Nothobranchius furzeri: one gene and its partner. The protein of the gene in region 2 interacts with the protein of the main gene of each other region in a biochemical or structural test. Links are inferred from orthologs where the notes say so. Each region holds a gene or a part of one and is shown on either strand. Other genes may lie near its edges.

Region 1 (5,740 bases), on a different chromosome or scaffold from region 2:
GACTTTCAGTAAACAAATCAAGCTCCGACACAGTGCTTTGCTCTGCGGTGGTTCGTTTTGGTGATACAAGCTTCGAATCCTGCGTGTCACAGGTAACATCACTACTGCCTGCATCCGTGAGTAAACGGCTTCCTCTGTTGTATGCTGGGTGACGCGCCGTATGGGCCGATCCTACGAGAAAGAGATTGCACTGTCACAGACAAAAGTTCTGCCCCAGTGTTCTGTCCTTGTCAGGGAGGAGCGGCGAGAGCCCCCGGGAGATCACGCCTGAGACAAGTGCCTGCTGAGAGCGAGACCAGAGACTGCTGGAGTCGCACGCTGAAGGCGGGACGCCGCCTTTCCCATCCTGGAAATTCCCTCCACGTGACGTTGTGGATCTGGGAGGAGCCCAACTATCTTTTGGGGTCTTTTTGAAGGACATGTTTTAATCTGCTTTTATGGACTCAAACTTTTTAGTTGTATATTTTTAGACGGGGCTTTTATTTAGTTAATAAAAGAGGTTGCAGACAAACTTCTACTCTCTGGTGTCTCTGTCCCTCTGGTTTTGCACCCTCGCTCTCCACCTGTGTCGTTGTGAATCCCTGTGTGATGCTGGAGCGGCAGAGCTCCAGTGTTGCCTAGGTTACACTTACTTCATCTGTATAATGTCTCTTTACTTTTGGTGAATTGTACTGAGTCCAGAATAAAGGCTACTTGGCTGTACAAGATAGAAACAAGGATTACGTTTTGGAAATATATGAAATGTATTTAGCCTGCTAATTTATCTCAAATACTAATAACTACTGCATTTTCCGGACTATAAATCGCACTTTTTTTCATAGTCTGGCCAGTCCTGCTACTACGGAGCGACTTATATAACAAAACATGTAGGCTACACCGTGCTGCTGCGGGCTGGCTCTGACCCAAGAATGAGTTCCCCTGTCCCACTGGGAAGGTTTCAAACACTGCCTTCCTCTGCTGGAGACCGTGGCGCGCTGCTGCGGCGCATTATTCGGTTATTGTTACCGGTACTTGTCTTGCAATGTGAAATGCTTGGTCTCAGATTTTGTAAGAAAAATAAAATTTCCCCCCAAAATACGACTTATGTTTTTTTCTTCATTATACATTTAATGGCTGGTGCGACTCAGGAGCAACTTAATAGTCCTGAAAATACAGTACGTGATAAATAGTGAAAACTTGCTCAAAGCAAAATATATTTTCATTACGGAAATAACTTATAAACTTACCGATTTAATATTTTTTATTCACAGAAAGGTACGTCTCATGAAAAAGCGCCGCAAACCTCCACCTGAACTCCATGCGGTCGATGGGTGTTCCACAGAGTTAGCTCCGGTTGTAGCTAGGTGGCTACATCCGTTAGCTCGGCTCCCACCTCCGCGTTAGCTTTGGGTTAGCTTCAGGTTAGCTTGTAGCTAGTTCGACCGGGTGTCGTCAGTTGATCCCAGCCTTACAGCCCCACCCTTAGCTCCTCCTCTCTTCCCTTTTATGGAATTGTCTGGGCTGGACGGAACCTGTGACACGGTCAAAATGGCGGTGGTGGCCACCTCCCATTTTAGACCAAAAACTTGTTATTGGAGCCTATGGAAAGGAATTGTCCAGTATATATGTCGATGATTCGGACACACCCCTGGTTCCAACCCACAGGAGAGGAGGGAGAGAGGACGTAAACAGCGAGTGGATCACAGGGACTGAACTGATGTTTTTGAGCAAAACTGCGGTAAAAATGGCTGTTTGTCCTCATTATTAAAAGTGTACCCCCACGGTTTAGATGCGGTGCTCATGCAGGTGTCTCTTTCTGTTCCGACGCTGCTACACGTAATAGTTTTAATTCATCAAGCCTACAATTTATTTTTACTCAGTAACAGATATGATTTAAAATGTAGCGAATTACAATTATTTTTTAAAAACTTACTCAAGTAAAAGTACAGATTTTAAAAACGACTCAAAAAGTATAAATATTCAAAAAGCTATTCAATTACAGTAACATGAGTAAATGTAATTCATTACTTTCCACCTCCGGCAGGCTGTCACTAAAAGGCTTTTTAAGTTTGTAAGAAAAAAGGCTGCTAGCTTCTCCATGAATATAACTAAAGAAATACCTGAGTGAACAGAAGAGATGGAAACAAAATGTAAAAATAAGGTTTTCCCTCTAAAAATGCCAAAAATTAGTTTGAAAGATGCAATTTTTGCTCCAATGAGGTGACCCCCCACCCCCAGTTAAATAATTTAGCAAGCAGGAAATGGCCAACCAACGCTTCTCCAGGGCCTGTCCCACCTGAGACGCAGACTTCAGACCTTAGAAACGCAGGCAAAATAATTCATTTGTGATTTATTTAGACAACTTTTAAATATAAAACCTAGAAATGTGGTTAGAACTTTGTACACATTTAAGTACATCTGATATTTGTCAAGTAGGAACAAAGTTTTTTTCTGTTGTTTCACAAAAACAGAATCCCATAAAATAAACTTTATTACCTTACACTAATCTCTGAGCTGTATGGAGCAATATCAGTCTCGGGTCAGCAGGTTTGGGTTGTTTTTCTGCTCTTATAATGACCTCATCAGCATGTTCTTCTGCAGAAGCCTGTTAATCGCCACCTAATTCAAATCAGGTGTGTTGGTGCAAAAAAACATCTAAAAGATGCAGGATGGCAGCAGATGGAGACTGGAGACACGTGCTGTAAAGTCCAATAAGCATGTAAAAGCATAACAAGACTATGACTACATAATATATTTGCTTGTGGCTCTTTTTCATTTCCAAAGGAGAACATGTATTTGGGGCATGAAGACTTCCTCCTGCCTTTTGTTGTGGCAAACCTCTTAGAAAACCCCATAGTCTTATTGGGGCTGAGTGTTGAAGGTCTATAAACACTGAGACGCTCTAGCCGAACAGACCAGGGTCGTGCAGAGTCAGCGTCTGTAGAAGGCTCCGGAAGTCCTGCAGAGTCCACATGTGCGTCTCCACAGCAGAGGCGCTGCTGCTGTCAGGGCGGATGCTCTGTGGGTCATTAAAAGTAATCAGAACCTCTGTGGAGAACTGCGGCAGACGGAACACACCCAAATGAATGGTCACTGTATTCCTCGCCTCTTCGTTGAACTTTGATACACGCTGTGTCCCTGTTAGCATCCAAGCACAACTGCACTCTGCCAGGGCCAGCTCGGGTTTAGGTAGGGCCACCAGACCGGACACTTCAAACGCACCGGGCTCCAAAGCTTTGTTGCAGCCCGCTATGTCCTCAAAGTGGTACCTGGCTGCATTCTGATCGGTCACCTGAGCCTGGTACTCCACTAACTCCACGATCAGGCTCTGGTCCGTGTGGGGGTGGGCGAACACCTCCTGGTTGTCAGGAATCTCCCTCAGCTCGCTGATGTCCGTGGCTAGAGGAGGTATGACCGCTGACAGCGCTCCCCCAAACAGAGGGCGAGCCTGCAGAGAAGCACAGCCTCCTCCGACTGTGCTCTGCATCTTCCTGAAAACAGCAACAAACACGATGACTGCTGGAGAATGCACATACACGTAAAACAGCACTGGTTTACAAAACTATAAATCGGTAAATTGTAAGTGTAAATGCGAAAAAGATAAACATACCAACTTACAACAGTGTTCGTTAAGTTAGCGTGTGCTTCTCAATATGCAGTAGTTCCTGTGACACGTATAACAGGCGCTCTACCGCCACCTACAGACGAGGAGGACAAGAGCTACAGACCTGTACCTTTTGTTTTGTTTAAATCTAATTTATTATAAAGAATTTTATTTAATTTATTTTCTGTTGTAAATATTAATAACTGTTTCATTATCATACTCATAATTTTGTTGTTATTATACACCTATACATTATTAAAATAATAAATATTTTATTTTTAAAATATTTCCCTTATTTATTTTTTGATTATTTAAAAATTTAAGGAAACAAAATAGAAGAATATTGTCTCATGTGAAACATCTGCATCAGTCTGTTCTCCAGCTGTTTTCGTTGACTTCCTGGTCAGCTGATCTAGACAAGAAGGACCGCTAGCATCCAAATATGAGAACAGTGTCTCGGCGTCTGGGACTACCTTTAAAATGAACTGGAAGAATCTGTAAAGTCACTGTAACCTGACTCATATCTGCACGTGTTGCCGAGGCTCTGTGCTGAGGAGTTTATCGGTGGATCTTGTTACAAACAGCAGGTAGGTAGTCACCGGTAGTCACGTTAGCATCTTTAGCTTAGCATAGTTTAGCCTGGTTGGGTGAGTGAAAGGCCTGTTTTATTTGGGTTACTGAATAGCATAGTTTATTCTGACCCGTGTTTTACTCTAATTATTATTGTGTTGTACATTTATGAGATGTGTGTGTTGTAGATAACCGCAACAATCCGCGTTTAAAGCTTCGATTAGACATTAGCTCATTCAGCTAGGTGAAATGCAGTGATTTATTCGTTTTTACTAACTGCTGTATTGCTTGAATCAGTTTCCAATTAAAAAGCTATTTTCAGGTCTAAAATGCTTTATTATCACATGAATGTTTATCAAATTAACATTTGTGTTTCCTGTCTTATCATGAATCTATGCTGCTTCTTTTTTGCTTTAAGTTGTCATTTGTCATTAAGTGTTTGTTTTTCGTGTGACAAAAGTTTATAAATAGATTACATTTAATTCTGTGGTTTGTGTCTTTAAAGTCCCATCCTTTAAATAGGTCAAGTTGTTGAACTTCCTTGTCCAAATCTCAACAGGTCAGACTGGGGTTTTCCTCTTTTCTGTCTCTTCACTACTTCAGATCTGTCCCTTGCTGGTCTCTCCTCTCCACTTTTGGCTGGAGAAAGGCTCTTTTTCCAAACGCAGCTCCAGAGCAAGGACACTGAGAAAACCACAGTGTCAGGCTTAACTGGATTCAATGGTATAAGTCGTCTTGTTAGTGAGAAATGGGGGATGTGCATGAGTAAACGCTCATCCCCCTGATGCATACACATCTGTTAGGATTGCATGTTTTTTTTTGCTCAGTGTCACAGAGGCATTTTATTGAGGTGTGTGTGTGTGTGTGTGTGTGTGTGTGTGTGTGTGTGTGTGTGTGTGTGTGTGTGTGTGTGTGTGTGTGTGTGTGTGTGTGTGTGTGTGTGTGTTTGCTTCGCTTCATTGGCACTCAAAGCACCCAAACCCAAACTCATGGATGTCTCTTTAGAAGAGCAGTGTGGTTTTCACATCTGCTTGGTAGAAAGTTTTGCCCAGCAGGCTGTGATGACATTTCCTTTTGCATTCAGTGAACAGGAGTCTGTTCTCTGTCTGAAGAACTATCAATAAAAAAATAGTTACATTATTCTGAGTTGCATAGGTTGCATTTTTCTGATTATTGAAGGGCTAAAATGTTGGCAAATTCATATGTTTCAGAACTAGGCATAGACTGATATATTGATTGAATGATATAGTTAGCTGATACTTACCAGTTTTTATATGTCAGCATCGGCTGATATTTGTTCACAGTGAAGGTGATTTAAAGTCAGTCACATCTTCGAGCAGCACGATGCTGTTGCAAAATGTTATTTAAATGCATTTTTATGTTCACTAATAACATCTGCATAATAAATACAGAGAATTAACTTTATTTAGGTGTCTGAGTTTAGCATTGAGAAGTGCACAAAGTTAAGATTTAACAGATAGTTAAATTCACATTTCAAAAACTGATTCAGCTTCAGAAATGTTGTGCATCAACCAATGTTATTAGTGACATTTTACCCTGAAAATAAGGTGGAAAATGTCTAGATAT
Region 2 (6,270 bases):
CTTTGTTCCATTTGAGTGTTTAGTGCAGATGAACAGATGCTGGATTTGCAACCACAGCTCTACTCACTTGAAGCTCTTCCTCATATTTAGCGGCAAGGGAAGGATCCATCTGGACCTCTGGGGGAGCGAGGGCAGGCATGGCCACAAACTCCAGGTTGGGGTCGCCGATCAGCTTCCTTGCTAACCACAGGAAAGGCTTCTCAAAGTTGTAGTTACTTTTGGCAGAAATATCGTAGTACTGGGGGCAGAGCCGTCAAAACAAATACTTTAATCCAAATGAAGCTAAAACGTTATTAATTTGCAAAAACATTCGCACAACAACGTAGAGCACAAACTCGTTAGAAAGCTGCCTTTACCTGCAGGTTCTTCTTGCGATGAAACACGATGCTTTTGGCTTTGACTTTTCTGTCTTTGATGTCTACCTTGTTGCCACAGAGGACAATGGGAATGTTCTCACAGACGCGGACCAAGTCACGGTGCCAGTTGGGCACGTTCTTGTAGGTGACTCGAGAGGTGACATCAAACATGATGATAGCACACTGAGCTGTAGGAGGAGCGGGTACATTTGATCAAATGAAGAAGAAAGGTGACACTAAATGCATCCAGCTGCTGGTATCATGATTAAAGATTGAAGAAGCACCTTGAATGTAGTAGCCATCTCTCAGCCCTCCAAACTTCTCCTGACCAGCTGTGTCCCAAACGTTATACTTGATGGGTCCTCTGTTGGTGTGGAACATCAGGGGATGCACTTCTACTCCTAGAGTAGCTAAAAAAAGATGCAGGAGATCAAGAAATTAATCTAAACTCACAGAGAGGGTCAAATGAACTTTAATCCTAGAATTATGATACAAGTTATAAACTAGAAAACAGATCCCAGGTGGCATAGAAATGGTAGCTTAATGCTTCTCATGAATGAATCAAACAGAATGATTTTCCCCAAGGGGATCAATAAAGTACACATTATTCATCATCTTTATGTTGAATGTTTGACATGTTAATATATTTATAATACCGGGAACAGTATTCATCCAGGATCTCCCTTCTCTCCCATTCAATTCTTTTCAATATAAATTAGGACAAAGATGTTATCTACAAGTTTAAACCCTGTATAGTTTCACAAAAAATAATGTTTGACTCATTGTTTTACCGTTTTCCATTTAAAAACATCACCAACCCAAAGCAGCTGTTAGTTGTAGAATTTCAGACATTGCAGAATGACACCAAGTTTGTTAAACTAATATATAAAAAGGTTGGTATTGCTTGATTTTCCATCTACTACAATCAGTTATGTGACTGATGCTGGAAGTCATTTATAGCTAGCTATATGGAGTAACTAGTACTTAGAATTTCTGCATTTTTGCACTCTTTGGGATTACTGAGGACAGTCATTCTTATTTGGCCTATTATTCATAGACTTGATAAGAGAATGGTTTTAAATAACATGGACATGAAATAGTTGTGTTTATCTTTCAACTACAAGAATAATAAAAACCACTTGTTTTATGAAGTAATTTCAACAAACACTAATTTCACAGGAAGACCAGAACTGTGCATTTTACACGTCTGTGTCATAAACTTGTGATGCAGCGATTTTACAATATTTTCTGTAAATGTGATGTTCTAAACATTAGTGGCAAACCTAATTTGGTAAAAACAAACACTGGGTTAGTCTTGTACAGTTTACATTTAACTTTCTCAGGTTACTCACCAACATACTTCTTCTCAAACTCTCCTGTAATGTGTCTCTTCACAAAAGTTGTTTTTCCCGTGCCTCCATCTCCGACCAACACCAGCTGTGAAGAACAGACCAGTTATCTACTGACCGGTTTGTGCTGGTACACCAGTTACCTCAGCTAAAACGCACACATTTTTGCCCTCACGCGCCATAATTAGATCATACTTAACATCATTCTTAAGAAGTAGATTCTTACCTTGAACACCGCCACAGGTACACACTGTCCCATAGAGTCAGCCATGGTTCCAAATATTCTGAAACAAACAAGGCGGGAATCTACCGTTAGTGTTATCTATACGTTGATTTAAGTTAAAGATTCTCAATAACTCAATTTGGCATTCTGGGAATATTGTTCACACGGGGCTTTGAACACGCACCATTCTGTACAGACGAGTTTACAGCTAAGGGATAACTTCTAGCATGTTCTATCCAAGCTAACGTTCCGACATGTTCAAATGCGACGTTATAATTTATGAAAGCTTGCTAACGCATCAACAAACAGCCTCTAACTGCTCTCCGGTGTGCCAAAATATAAAGTAAAACAAAGCTACCGTGCCCCCCAAAAGCCTCAGCACTGGCGGTTACCAACTAGCCTTCAAGCTAACAGGCGTTAGTTTAGTGCGCCATATGATGCCTGAGCGCACTTTTTCAGGTTCGACTGGAACAATCAGACAGTCACAGAAGCTAATGCGTTCCATGTTGCCGTCAATTTCTGGTCTAAACAAGACGCCTTCCGTAAATAACGTTAATTGCGAACAAGAAAAAATTGTGAAAACTCCCTGGCAAATATACACAAATAAGAGTAATAGGAACAAATATCCCAGAACAAAGCCGTGAAATGGAGCATTGCTGTGCTCGCTAGCCTCACAGCTAGCACAGCATGGAAGCCATTCTTCCCCGTTAGCTGGTAGCACAAAAAATGCGACGGCCTTTCCCCCTCAACTGCTGTTAAGGCTGCACATGCAAAACGACCTTAACCCAAAAGAAGAAAATAACCCAAAAAGTTTTGTTTCATTCTTAGTGACTTAAAAACAATCCAAACTTGACATTTAGGAAGGCCCTCAATTGAAGAGGAAACTAGCGACTCACCGGTGTCACTGCGAAGAGAGGAAAGAGTAAATGGCTGCGTTCGCGGCAGATTCAGCGTGGACTATGAGTCACTTTCCGCCCTGGTCACGTGGCCTCCGCAGCGCCAAAAACGCATAAAATATAGAACATGAATCAGCATCCGTCTGATATACCTTCACGATGCGCACTCCGCTGCTTTGTTCTCAAAGCAACACTTCTAGAGATTAAACCGTATATATCATGTTTTTAAAGTGTTGATCAAGACATATGGGCCCGATAAGAAGCCAGCTAGTTTTTGTTGTTCAAAGGTTTCTGCCCTTTTCTGAAAACTTCCAAGGACCTTCGGGGTTATAAATCATAAATTTGACATTTGCACTAAAAGGAGGTTTTGACAGGAGGAGCCTTTCCCAGACACCAGTGTCTTTCTGTACTTCTCTACTTCAGGAACCCCTTTCAGGCTCTCTAAAGATTACGGAGTAATGAAGGGAGGCAGATGCCCGATGATATGTGTTACTTAACTCTATAGACATTTCTGTGTTTATGTCCATGCTTTAACCCCGGCTCTTCCATTGTTTGTTCCTGTAGCAAAGTTAACACGCAGGGTTAAAGAGTGGCCTTTAAAACTCATCTGGTTTAAAAATACATAATCAATTTGTATAATTTCACCCGTAGTTCATACCTTAGTGGAAACTGCAAACCAGAGCTGACAGAAATGGGACCAAGTAATAGGTTCAAATGATTCTGGGCCTGTGTTTTATATTAGATCATGCAGTTAAATAAAACAGATCTAACAAGCTTGAAGAATTTTCCTGAAAAACATGTTATGACTGTTGATGAGGCACAAAAGAAGCAGAGAGAATTAAAACTAATTTGTACTCTTTTTAAATTACATTATTAAACTGCTATGACATTTTTCAAGTTGTGATTGCACTTAAACTAGCTGTTAGCTCATCAATCCTGTTGAATGTTTCAGTCCATTCAGAAAGCTAAATAAAATAGTAATTACTTATATCCTTTATATAAAAATACACTTCAAACTGGTCAAAACAATTCTGTTGAGGTTGAAATCAGAAGCTGCAGGTATGCTTCACTCCCAATTCTCCAACTAATCTAACACCAGCCTAGGTTTAAAATATGGTTTATTTAATTACCCTCAGTTGTTCTGGAGAAGCATTACATTGAAATGTTCAACTTAAAAACAATAAAAAATGTTTTAATGTGTCTGTAAATATCAGTGAGTAAAAACAAATGAATTCAACACATGAACAGTTCAAACTAACCCAATCCTACAACAAAACAAGCCAAACAGTGCCTGACCAACAAGAAAGCTCCCAACCTGTTCTAGCCAATGGCAAAAGAGCTGTAGTATTTAACCCTGGCTGATCCACTGAGTAGAAAACATTCTGTGGATAAGGAATAGTCGAGTCAGTTGGAGACAGGTCAAATCATTACCGCATGAGACCATCATTAGGTTAAAAACTGCCATATATCTAAAATAACGAAAGATAAAGAAAATTTTGCAAAAATGCTTACTAAGTAGAACTCGAGGGAATAGTGAAATGATTTCCAGAAACACATTATAAGGACTAACCAATGTAACCAGACTAAACAGCCGTTTAGCTCAGAGAGACACGCATTACTGAGGATATAAACCTCAGTTAGATGGGAAGCAGCAAGACTGATTCCTGACAACAACAGGATCTAAATGATTTAAGATGTTATTTTTCTAATAAAGGATTAACCAACAGAGCCACCCCCCCCCCCCAGTCATAAATACAAGATGAAAATTTAAGTTACTCAGTTAAGTTTTATGATTTACAGAAAAAGCTCAACAGTGAAGGTGTGCCTATAAAAAAGCTTTTAGAACAACTTTTGTTAGATTTGTTTATTTTTGTTTATGGCCAGTTAATGTATGATTACTGGGCTTGCTTCAAAATGAGCATTTTAACTCCACAACATGTAGCTATTTCTATAATGTACATAAGCATGATGCCAAAATGGTTTGTTTTTACAAGAAGTGGTTTATCTGTACAAATAGTCTGCCTGTATATTGGCTGCTATCTCAGGCTCCCATCGGTCTCCGTTGTTGAGCAGCTTTTCCTTGTTGTAAAGAAGCTCCTCGTGCGTTTCTGTAGAAAACTCAAAGTTTGGACCCTGAGGAGAAGGTTGAGAGAAAAATATCAAACAGCAAATACTGGATAGGAAAAGGTAAGCAGCGATTCTTTTTTGTGGAAGAAGTGTTGCTTTTTGTTTGATGACATTTTCTCTTTTCTCACCTCCACAATAGCATCAACAGGACAGGCTTCCTGGCAGAAACCACAATAGATGCACTTGGTCATGTCGATGTCGTAGCGGGTAGTTCTCCTGCTGCCATCAGCTCGAGTCTCGGCTTCAATGGTGATGGCCTGGGGATGGACACGGGGAGTTCAGACTAAATATCCTGGTGTTTGGGGGAAATTTAGGAACGTTTCACTAATGGAAACATTTATATCTCTGTGTTGGAGAGCATTTACTGGAGTGGACTTTTCTTCTGTTCTTTAATATTATAAACAAACATGTTTCTTTCAAATGATCAAAGTCTGCAAACGTCCTTTTTCTCATACACTACAATGTTTTGGACAATATTTTCCTGACCGTACAACAACTATGCTTCTGCTCACCTGAGCTGGGCAGATGGCCTCACACAGCTTACAGGCGATGCAGCGCTCTTCTCCGCTGGGGTAGCGGCGGAGGGCGTGTTCTCCACGGAAGCGTGGCGACAGCGGGCCCTTCTCAAACGGGTAGTTGATGGTGGCAGGTTCACGAAACAGGTAACTCATGGTCATGGCCAAACCTGAAGGAACATGTCAAAGAATCAATCAGAGATCTCGTCTCGTCTTCCTCCGCTTATCCGGGTCCGGGTCGCGGGGGCAGCATCCCAACTAGGGAGCTCCAGGCCGTCCTCTCCCCGGCCTTGTCCACCAGCTCCTCCGGCAGGACCCCAAGGCGTTCCCGGACCAGATTGGAGATGTAACTTCTCCAACGTGTCCTGGGTCGACCCGGGGGCCTTCTGCCGGCAGGACATGCCCGAAACACCTCCCCAGGGAGGCGTCCAGGAGGCATCCTGACCAGATGCCCAAACCACCTCAACTGGCTCCTTTCGATCCGGAGGAGCATCGGTTCTACTCCGAGTCCCTCCCGAATGTCCGAGCTCCTCACCCTATCTCTAAGGCTGAGCCCGGCCACCCTACGGAGGAAACTCATTTCGGCCGCTTGTATCCGCGATCTCGTTCTTTCGGTCATTACCCAAAGCTCATGACCATAGGTGAGGATTGGGACGTAGATCGACCGGTAAATCGAGAGCCTGGCTTTCTGGCTCAGCTCCTTCTTCCCCACGACAGATCGGCTCAGCGTCCGCATCACTGCAGACGCCGAACCAATCCGCCTGTCGATCTCCCGATCCCTCCTACCCTCACTCGTGAACAAGA

The links.
Region 1: the proteins of ran (region 2) and rangrf form a complex in vitro, tested with the Homo sapiens proteins (2 studies listed by BioGRID). The link is inferred for Nothobranchius furzeri from reciprocal best matches to the Homo sapiens genes RAN and RANGRF.

What each region holds. Positions count from the first base shown.
Region 1 is NC_091748.1:46,572,919-46,578,658, forward strand, and holds rangrf (ran guanine nucleotide release factor), read right to left. Parts: upstream 3,694-5,740; 5' UTR 3,598-3,693; exon of another isoform or gene 3,590-3,597; intron 3,471-3,589; 5' UTR 3,467-3,470; coding exon 2,882-3,466; 3' UTR 2,315-2,881; downstream 1-2,314. UniProt on the Homo sapiens protein: May regulate the intracellular trafficking of RAN. Promotes guanine nucleotide release from RAN and inhibits binding of new GTP by preventing the binding of the RAN guanine nucleotide exchange factor RCC1.
Region 2 is NC_091741.1:91,736,374-91,742,643, reverse strand, and holds the start of ran (GTP-binding nuclear protein Ran), read right to left. Parts: upstream 3,692-6,270; 5' UTR 2,825-3,691; intron 2,332-2,824; exon of another isoform or gene 2,113-2,331; intron 1,990-2,112; 5' UTR 1,977-1,989; coding exon 1,932-1,976; intron 1,794-1,931; coding exon 1,709-1,793; intron 767-1,708; coding exon 641-766; intron 545-640; coding exon 357-544; intron 239-356; coding exon 68-238; intron 1-67. Other genes in the region: ndufs8b (NADH:ubiquinone oxidoreductase core subunit S8b), read right to left, coding at 4,826-4,957, 5,080-5,208, 5,464-5,636. UniProt on the Homo sapiens protein: GTPase involved in nucleocytoplasmic transport, participating both to the import and the export from the nucleus of proteins and RNAs. Switches between a cytoplasmic GDP- and a nuclear GTP-bound state by nucleotide exchange and GTP hydrolysis.